Canis lupus familiaris: one gene and its partner. The protein of the gene in region 1 interacts with the protein of each later gene in a biochemical or structural test. Links are inferred from orthologs where the notes say so. Each region holds a gene or a part of one and is shown on either strand. Other genes may lie near its edges.

The links.
Region 2: the proteins of ITPR1 (region 1) and CABP1 form a complex in vitro, tested with the Homo sapiens proteins (2 studies listed by BioGRID). The link is inferred for Canis lupus familiaris from reciprocal best matches to the Homo sapiens genes ITPR1 and CABP1.

Annotation. Positions count from the first base shown.
Region 1 is NC_049241.1:12,983,529-12,987,975, reverse strand, and holds part of ITPR1 (inositol 1,4,5-trisphosphate receptor type 1), read left to right. Parts: intron 1-47; coding exon 48-206; intron 207-2,307; coding exon 2,308-2,480; intron 2,481-3,852; coding exon 3,853-3,972; intron 3,973-4,447. UniProt on the Homo sapiens protein: Inositol 1,4,5-trisphosphate-gated calcium channel that, upon inositol 1,4,5-trisphosphate binding, mediates calcium release from the endoplasmic reticulum (ER).
Region 2 is NC_049247.1:16,859,380-16,863,826, forward strand, and holds part of CABP1 (calcium-binding protein 1), read left to right. Parts: coding exon of another isoform or gene 1-34; intron 35-2,819; coding exon 2,820-2,850; intron 2,851-3,144; coding exon 3,145-3,288; intron 3,289-4,393; coding exon 4,394-4,447. UniProt on the Homo sapiens protein: Modulates calcium-dependent activity of inositol 1,4,5-triphosphate receptors (ITPRs). Inhibits agonist-induced intracellular calcium signaling.

The sequences.
Region 1 (4,447 bases):
TAACTCTGTAAATGATGGCAGCATTCATTCTTCCTTCTCACAATCAGATCTTCAAGTTGTTACAAGCCCCATTCACAGACTGTGGCGATGGCCCCATGCTGCGGCTGGAGGAGCTTGGGGATCAGCGGCATGCCCCATTCAGACATATCTGCCGGCTCTGCTACAGGGTCCTGAGACACTCCCAGCAAGACTACAGAAAAAACCAGGTTGGTATTCGGGATGGATGGGAAGTAATGGGCAGCTTCATCCCTGAAGTTCATGTACTCGCCTCATGAGTTTTAAGTCTCACATCTATAGTTACTTAATGACTAGAGATTAGTTTATTAAGTTCACGCTTAGAAAGGAAATAAATTTTTGCAAGCCTCAGAAGATAGAGTCCTTAAGAAAGATGCCAGAGAAGTTCCCTTCTGCAGCCACCTTTCAATGAGAGTTTTCTTTTGGCATTGGTATTACATTTTTATTGCCTTATGGAAAATGATTACATGGGTTTATATTAAAGGAAGAGTGGAATCTTTTCTTCCTGCTCCCTTCCATAGTCTACATGTCTGCTGGTAACTTTATTTTGATTTTGGCTCATATTTTATGACATTCTAAGTCCTTGTCTATGTCATGGCACTATATATATTATCCTCTCCCCATGAAATAAATGTTCTAACCTCTCTGGGGTTTCCCATTATTTTGGTATTTTAAGGAAGCCTGTGAACTGTGTTACACATTTAGTAGTTCTCAGCTGGAACTAATATTGTCCCCCAGGAAGTATTTGACAATTTCAGGGGACCCTTTTGAGTGTCACAACTTGGAGGTGCTCCTGGCACCTAGTGGATAGAAGCCACTGATGCTACTAAATATCCAGGAATGCACAGGACATCCCCATCTGCAAATAGTTATCCAGCCCGATAGTCCGTAGTGCTGAGGTTGAGAGGCCCTGCACTATGTTACTCTAAGTACTGTAGGTGCATAGATGATGCTTATGAAAACCTTGATTCCCAGTCTCTGCGTTGTGTTACAAAAAGCTTTTGTTTGTAAACTTTTGACTGCCTCAACATCTGGCCTTTAAATTTAAGCTTTTCTCTGTAATTAAGGTTTTTTATATTTTGTCATGAAGATAGTATTAAACTTAAGCAATGCTCTAAAGTATTAGATATAATGTTGTTAGCAAATATTGCTAAGCTTTTGACTTTGCCTTTGGTATTGTTGAAATTAAAAGTATCCTATACCTATGATGTTGCGTTCATTAATCTGGACAGGTGGTCTTTGGGTGCTCTGATTGCTTTAAATTCACCTGCGGTGTGTCAATACCATACTCAAATAGTGCCAAAGAGATTTTATTCTCTTTCTCTGCTATCTTCAGATAAGGATGCATTGGAGCCTGTAGTGTGTGCCAGCACATTTTGCTTCTACATGAAAAGACCAAACCATTCCCTCTTACTGCTGCTACATTGACTATCTCTGCTTATTATTTATGGATTCTATGCCACTTGGCATAAGTGTATCTTTGAGGGCTGGTGAATTCCTAAATGTGCATCCTTATTGAGCATGGGCTGAAAAGTGGCCAGTGTCCACTGTGGACACTCTGAGTAGTTTTTAGGTTTTTGGAATTAATTTTAAAAAATTAAGCCAAGTTTCAAGGGCTTTTGGAACTTTCAGTAAACAAATTGTCTTGGGAAGGGAAATATTTTTGAATAGAAAGAAGCAATATCTTCAAGAGGCTTCCCTGAGTTCCTCATATATTGTTATGGAACATCATGTCTGATCCCCAAAGAGAGAAGCCAGAGATGTTGTCATAGGTTCTATGAATCTGGTTGACTGGCTTAGGTATTCCTAACTTGCTTCTGCTACCCATTGGCTATAAAAATGTATTTTCACCCCAGTTAAAGAATACAGAATGGGGTAATATTGTTCTAAATAGCTAGGTAGGCTTAAGTATATTTATTCAGCAGCATAGAGGAGCAAGGCACAGTTAAATCCTCTTGAATTAGTAATAAAATCAGAGCTGAAAAACAGCTTTTGACCTTTTAGGAAAATAAGTCACCACATTAATATTTATACTGTGCACTTACTAAAATGCCCATCTGTACATACAGGATAATTTGCTTAATTACATTTGTGTGGCAGGTTTAGTAAAATGAAGGATGTGGGGGAGTTTGCAGCTGCTATCCTAGATTAGAAAGTTGTGGAAAGATGCTCCACTAGGATTTCCCTTACAAACAATCATTCTCATCAGGGACTGTTGCTGTTTTCCTCAGTTTTGGGTTGAACTTAATATTTTTTGGTCTCTCTGTCAACCTTTCTTTTCTTCCTTAAAAGGAGTACATAGCCAAGCAGTTTGGCTTCATGCAAAAACAGATTGGCTACGATGTGTTGGCCGAAGACACCATCACTGCCCTGCTTCACAATAACAGAAAACTCCTGGAAAAACACATCACCGCTGCTGAGATCGACACATTTGTCAGTCTGGTGCGAAAGAACAGGGAGCCCAGGTGAGGCGGAGGTGGGCCTGATTGGCAGAATGTGTCTGACCAAACCAGTCATGGTGCTTTGGGCTGGGTTTCCTTTTTGAGGGCTGCCAGAGGCAGATGTCATTTAGGCCAGTCTTGAGAGGCTCTTGGATGAGTAGCGGAAAGAACAGACCTGTGGTGGAATCCTAGCTCTAACATTTACCAGCTGGGTGACCTTCACTTTCCCCTTGAGCTTTAATTTCCTTCTATGCTAAATGGATGGTTATGAAAATTGAATGAGAATAAATGCATGTGAAGTACCTGGTACTTCGTAGATGCTCAGTCAATGGCAGATAGCACTGGCCACTCAGTGACCATGTAGTACCCCCCGATTATCAGTTAGAACACTTCCCCCAAATATCATAAGAGTTTTTTTTTGCAAACTTAGTTGTTACTTGAGTGTTTTTATTTTATGTTAGGATTCTATCATTTCTCATTCTCATAGATCTCCCCACCTTCTTCCTCTCTTCCCTCTTTTCTTCTCCTGATTCAGATCCACAACATTGGGGCAACTGGGTGACTCAGTCGGTTTAGTACCTGCCTTCACCTCAGGTCATGATCCTGGGGTCCTGGGATCGAGCCCCACATTGGGCTCCCTGCTCAACAGGGAGTCTGCTTCTCCCTCTCCCTCTGCCCTTTCCCCTGCTCGTGCTTTCTCTCTCTTTCTCAAATAAATAAATATTTTTTATATATAAAAAAAAAGATCCACAACATTTTAGAAGTAGGAAATAGCTTATAATATAGATATCGTGAACAATCACACTGGAGAGCTGATAGTGTTGTTACAAAATGACTCCTCCCACCCATGAAGTTAAATGATGCCTTGTGGAGCATTCTCATGTACCAGGGAGTGAACTAAACCAGCACTTGACATGAATTAGCTTATTTAATCTTCAGGACAGTTCTCTGAGGTTATACATTATCCTCTTCTGTGGATGAGAAAAGTGTAATACAGCAAGGTCAAGAAATTTCTCCAAGTCACACTGCATATCAGAACATAACTAAAGGAGAATCAGCACAGGGATTCCAACTCAGGCCTCAGAGCCTTTCCTAACTTCTCTGGTCCCCCTCCATCCACTGCTTCCTTATGTGGATGTCTTCCTTCTTTTCATTTTTGCCTCATCACTTCTCCATCTGCCCCAGTCATGGCCGCTTTCCTCTTCTGCCTCTTTCTTTCTTTTCTTATGGTGACTGGGTTCCTGGTGGTGCTGTAGATGCTGGCAGCCAAACCTGAAATGTCTCTGATTTCTTTTGTCCAAGGTATGGACTGTCCACTTAGCAGAGTCAGGCTCCAAGAGCCAAACCTCCTCTCTGGCTACAGAAAATGTTTTGTTTGCTTTCTCTTTCTCGACAGATTCTTAGATTATCTCTCTGACCTCTGTGTGTCCATGAACAAATCGATCCCAGTGACCCAAGAACTAATATGTAAAGCCGTGCTGAATCCAACCAATGCCGACATCCTAATTGAGACCAAGTGAGTGGGGAAGGGAGTAGTCTTGGGATTTAAGATACAGATGAGAAAAAGATTTAGATAGAGCTTGTACGGTTCAGTGGATGTCTGCACTCCTGACTAAGAGAACTTTACCCTTTTGGGTGAAGACTTGGTCTGAAGTCAGACAGGCTGGCATGAGATCTGTCTAATGCAAAGGTCTTGGATAAGGGAATTAAGTTTGCTTCTGGAGTGGCCTCCTCTATACTTACTTTTGCACACTGGTTTAAAACTAAGTGTATTCACCAGAGAGCATTTTGTACACACTTGGTTTAATTTTAAGAGCTTAATGCTCTTAAAGTAAGATTATTAGTTTTAAAATGTAAAGGAGGTAATTCATTGATGATATTAAGATACTGCAGGGAAGAGTTTTTTAAATTATCACTGTTCAAAAGTGTTTAGTGGTACAGAGAAACTTTGGTAATAGTAGTGATTCATTTTTAGCAAGGGAACTGTTTTC
Region 2 (4,447 bases), on another chromosome or scaffold:
CCTGCGCAAGGGCTTCGCTGAGAACAGGCAGCCTGTACGTAAGTTGGCCCCAGTGGAGCCGCACTTGACTTGGCTTCAGAGGGCATGAGGAGGTGCTGGGAAGAAGAGGGGCTCTGTATGAAGCAAGCCATGTCCCCTCATGGATACACCCCAACCCCTCAATGTGTGATTCTGACCCTCCATATTTCCCACCCATGGCTGCAAAGCACTGGTGAGTCCACCTCCACCAGCAAGAAGTAACATAGCAGCTAATGTTTTTTTGTTTGCTTTCTTATCTTCTTGAGCACTTACTCTGTGTGAGGCTCTGTGCTAAGTGCTTTGGTGCATTGTCTCATGTCAGGCTCAGAGCAGCTCTGAGAGGTAAGTCCTATTATCATCTCTCATTTACAGATAAGGAAACTGAGTTGGAGAGATAAACATGTTCAAGATCACAGCTAGTGGGTGTAGAGGTTGGATTCAAACCCGGGAAGTCTGATGCAAAGGCTCCCTGTTCTCTTAACAGCAGTTCTGAATACACAGGCCTGTCCGGGAGAACTTCCTATAGTGATGGAAATATTCTACAAGCCATGCTGCCCGATATAGTAGCCATCAGCCACATGTGGCTATTGAGCACTTGAGAGTGGCTAGTACAACTGAGGACCTGAATTGTTCATTTCATTTGCTTCCTATTCCAATTTAAATAGCCGCAAGCAGCTACTATATCCCGGCAGCCTCCTTCAGATATCTGAACAGTCACAGGAGGAGGGTGATGATGTTACAGATACAAACATTTGAGGGTTCCACTTGTTGAATGCCACATGCTAAATACTTTACAGATATTGTCTCATGGGATGCTCGCAAAGGCCCGGTAACATGGGTGCTGGTATTAACCTATTTTATGATGAGGACACCATGGCTCAGAATGCTGAAGTGACCTGCCTGTGGTCCCACAGCTAGGAAGGAGCAACTCTGGGCTTTGCACTTGAGTTTGTCTGGCTCTGGAGGCTGAGCTCTTCTTCCAAACCGCATACGTTGGGGAGACAGTATGTGCTAGTATGTGCATGTACTCTCCTCCCGTCTGACCCCTGGGGATGGTGCTCACGGTTTCCCTAACACATTGGTGTGCACCTGTGGCTCTTCTACACATACCCCCAAATGCTCCACAAGGGGAGCATGTGATCCAAGGGCTGGCCACCTGGACTTTGCCAGAGGCACACCGAGAAGGGGTACCTGGCTTGCCTGCTCCCTGGTTCCAGCTATGCAAGAAGGGGAGGAGGCTGCAGTAGGGTAGCACCCTGTTCCTCTCCAATCCTGTAGAGCTGGGTCCTGGAGAAAGAGAGGCTGCTTGAGGCTTGAAGAGTGGGAAAGGACTCATATCTGAGTGATTTGTCCTAGCGAATACACTCTGCACGGGTATGTACACACATACACTCACCTATTTACTCACTTCACTTATTGGGGGTACAGGGTTTTGCAAAAATCATTATTTTTGGCCACCCAAGATCCAAGTGTGACTAGGAATGGAGTGACAACACTCGCAGTGTACACGGTGACAGGTTTTATGGTGGAAGTCCATACCATCATCTTGCGGAGACATACACATACCTTCAGTGAATCCTGCCCTCACCTAGAAATGCCACATGCTGAACGGGGTAGTGTGTAGCCTGCTCATTCACAGCTCATGTACACTGTCAACACTGTCCTGTCACATTTAGCCACTTCTGAGCCTGAGGTCCTGTGCACCTGGTTGTCTCACGAGATGTTGCTCAGCAGCCCCTTTCTAGAAAATTCTGAGTTTCATAGCTAGGGTCTCTTGCGATGGGGCCAGCTTGCAGTGGGTGGGCAAAAGCTGTCTCTTGCTGCCTTGACCCCTTGGCTAGAACAGCCAGCGTGCCCAGCTGAGATGCTTCATGCTCACTGGGGCCCGCCTGCGTGTCTGTGTTCAGGAGGGGTGTGCCCGCATCTGGTATGTGCTCACTCAGGGTGGGCACACCCTGCCACATTCTACCTGCCAGAAGTCAGAGAGCTGCGATACGTGGGGAGGATGTGCTGTGGGTGCCAGCTTTGGGGCCTACTGAACAGGTCCGGCTGGGCATCCATTTCATGCTGATCTGTCTGCCTCCTGGGAAGGCCTGGGGTGACTGGCACCTCACTAGCCAGAGTCTACCCCATGTATCCTCTGGGCCTGCTCTCTGGAGACTTCTCTGCCATCTGTCCAGATGCCTAGACCCAGAGTTTCCTTGAGTCCCCAAGGAGACCTGGGCTCTGCGCGAAGCTGGAGATGTGTGCTTTGGACCCTGGCAGCAGCCAGCAGCACCGGCAGCCCCCAGGGTCCTAGGCCGTGTCCCATTACAGGCAAGAGGTAGGATGAGGGTCTGGTGGGAGAAGGTGGGCGATGCCCTACTTCTGCCTCCACACCCTTGGCTCCTCCTCCTCCTCCTCTCCCTCCCTCTCTGGCAGCCTGTCCAGTTCTGGCTTTCTGTCCCTCCAGCCCTTTCCCCATTGCCTTGCAGGCCTTCCTTCTGTTGTAACCCACAGCAACCCGTCCACTCCACTTTATTTACAGGGTTTTGCCTCCAGAACAACTCTGTCCTCTGACACATTCTGGTGTCTGGAATGGGGACACAGAGTTTCTGTACGCAGGTTGAATGGGGCTCTGGGGTCCCTGGGCATCTTCTGTGTCTATGAGAGATGTGGGCTGCACCTTTCCCCCTCAAAGATGTGTGCTGGCCCTCCCTCCACCCAGTGTGCTCGTTGTCCCTCGTATAGTCCCCAGCCTGGGCATTTTGTGACCTCTAGGCCCCTTACAGCTGCTAATAGGACACATTCTTTTGTTTCAGGACAGATCACTGCGGCCAGAGGAGATTGAAGGTAAGACCCAGCCCCTTAGGGGAAAGGGTTGCTCAGCTGTCCAGGAAGGTGAGGGAAGGGATACTGGTGTGAAGAGAGGCAGAGACATCTTGGCCTTCTGGGAATGTGGCCTGGTACAGGGCTGGGCATTGTCTGTGGGGCGCTGAGGATCAGGGGAGTGTAGTCCTGGCAGTTCTAGGCTCTGGCTCAGGGACAGGGGTGGGGGTGGGGCTTGGGCTGCCTCTGCCCAGAGGCTTCACAAGTCCCACTTTTATCCTTTTGTCTAGCTGTGCCCACTTTTGTTCTTTCTCTCAGAGCTCCGAGAGGCCTTCCGAGAATTTGATAAGGACAAGGACGGCTACATCAACTGCCGGGACCTGGGCAACTGCATGCGCACCATGGGTTACATGCCTACTGAGATGGAGCTCATTGAGCTGTCCCAACAGATCAACATGAACCGTGAGTCCCTCCCCTGGGCACCACCTGCCCTTCCCATTCCTACCCTCGCAGTCCTCTGCAGTCACACAGGCTGATTTCAGCTCTGGGCCAGCTTCTATAACCTGGAGCAAACTGCTTAGAGTCTCTGGGCCTGTTTCCTCTGCTGTAATCTGTGAAATGAGAGGAGCACAGAAAGTCAGCGAGGGAGTACCTGCCACACAGCCCTGCATGTGGCCTACAGGGGCTGTTGAACAGAAGGGAAGCCATTACTCCTTTGTTATTCTCTGGCTTAGTTTGGGTTCTCCTAGAAGCAGACCGCAGAGACAAGGATTTGGGTACAAGCAGTTTCTCTGGAAGGTGAAGAGAAGGGTCAACAGGGAATAGGGAAGTGAGGCCACAAAGAGAAGGAGCCCACAGGGGGTGAACTCTCAAGCCAGCTAGCACCACTAGTATTGAGAATCTCATTCCTCCAGGCAGCTCTGGGAGTTAGTGTACTGTGCCCATCTTGAGGTTAGAGCCCTGGCCTCTCCAAGCCAGGTGTTTTGTCAGTCAGTGGCTGAAAGGTGTTGTGAGCAAGGGGTGGGGTGTGTGTCACTGCTCCAGCACTCCTACCTGCTTTGGGATCTTATTGGAGTGAGCCTCCTTTTGCAGGACAAGAGTAAGCCCTGGGGCATATGGGCCAGATGCTCCTAACTTCTGCTTTCTCTACCTTTCTGCTTGTTTGTCTTTGTCTCTCTGTCTCTGAAAAAAAAAATTTTTTTTTAAAGATTTTATTTATTTATTCATGATATACACAGAGAGAGAGGCAGAGACATAGGCAAAGGGAGAAGCAAGCTCCTGATCATCAAGGAGCCTGATGTGGGACTCAATCCCAGGACCCTGGGATCATGACCTGAGCCAAAGGCAGACAGACACTCAACCACTGAGCCACCCAGGCATCCCTTCCCTGAGCCATTCTTTGATAAACCACCTGTCCATGGTCACTTCTCTGTCCTCATTTGGCCTTTGGTTGTACCCTCGACCTGGCACTGAATAGGTCAAGGAGAGGTTCACAGTGCCTTCCTTTGCCTAATTAGAGATGAGGGAGTAGTTGGATGAATGACCTAGCCCTTTCCTCTGTCTCCAGTGGGTGGCCATGTGGATTTTGATGACTTTGTAGAGCTAATGGGACCTAAACTCC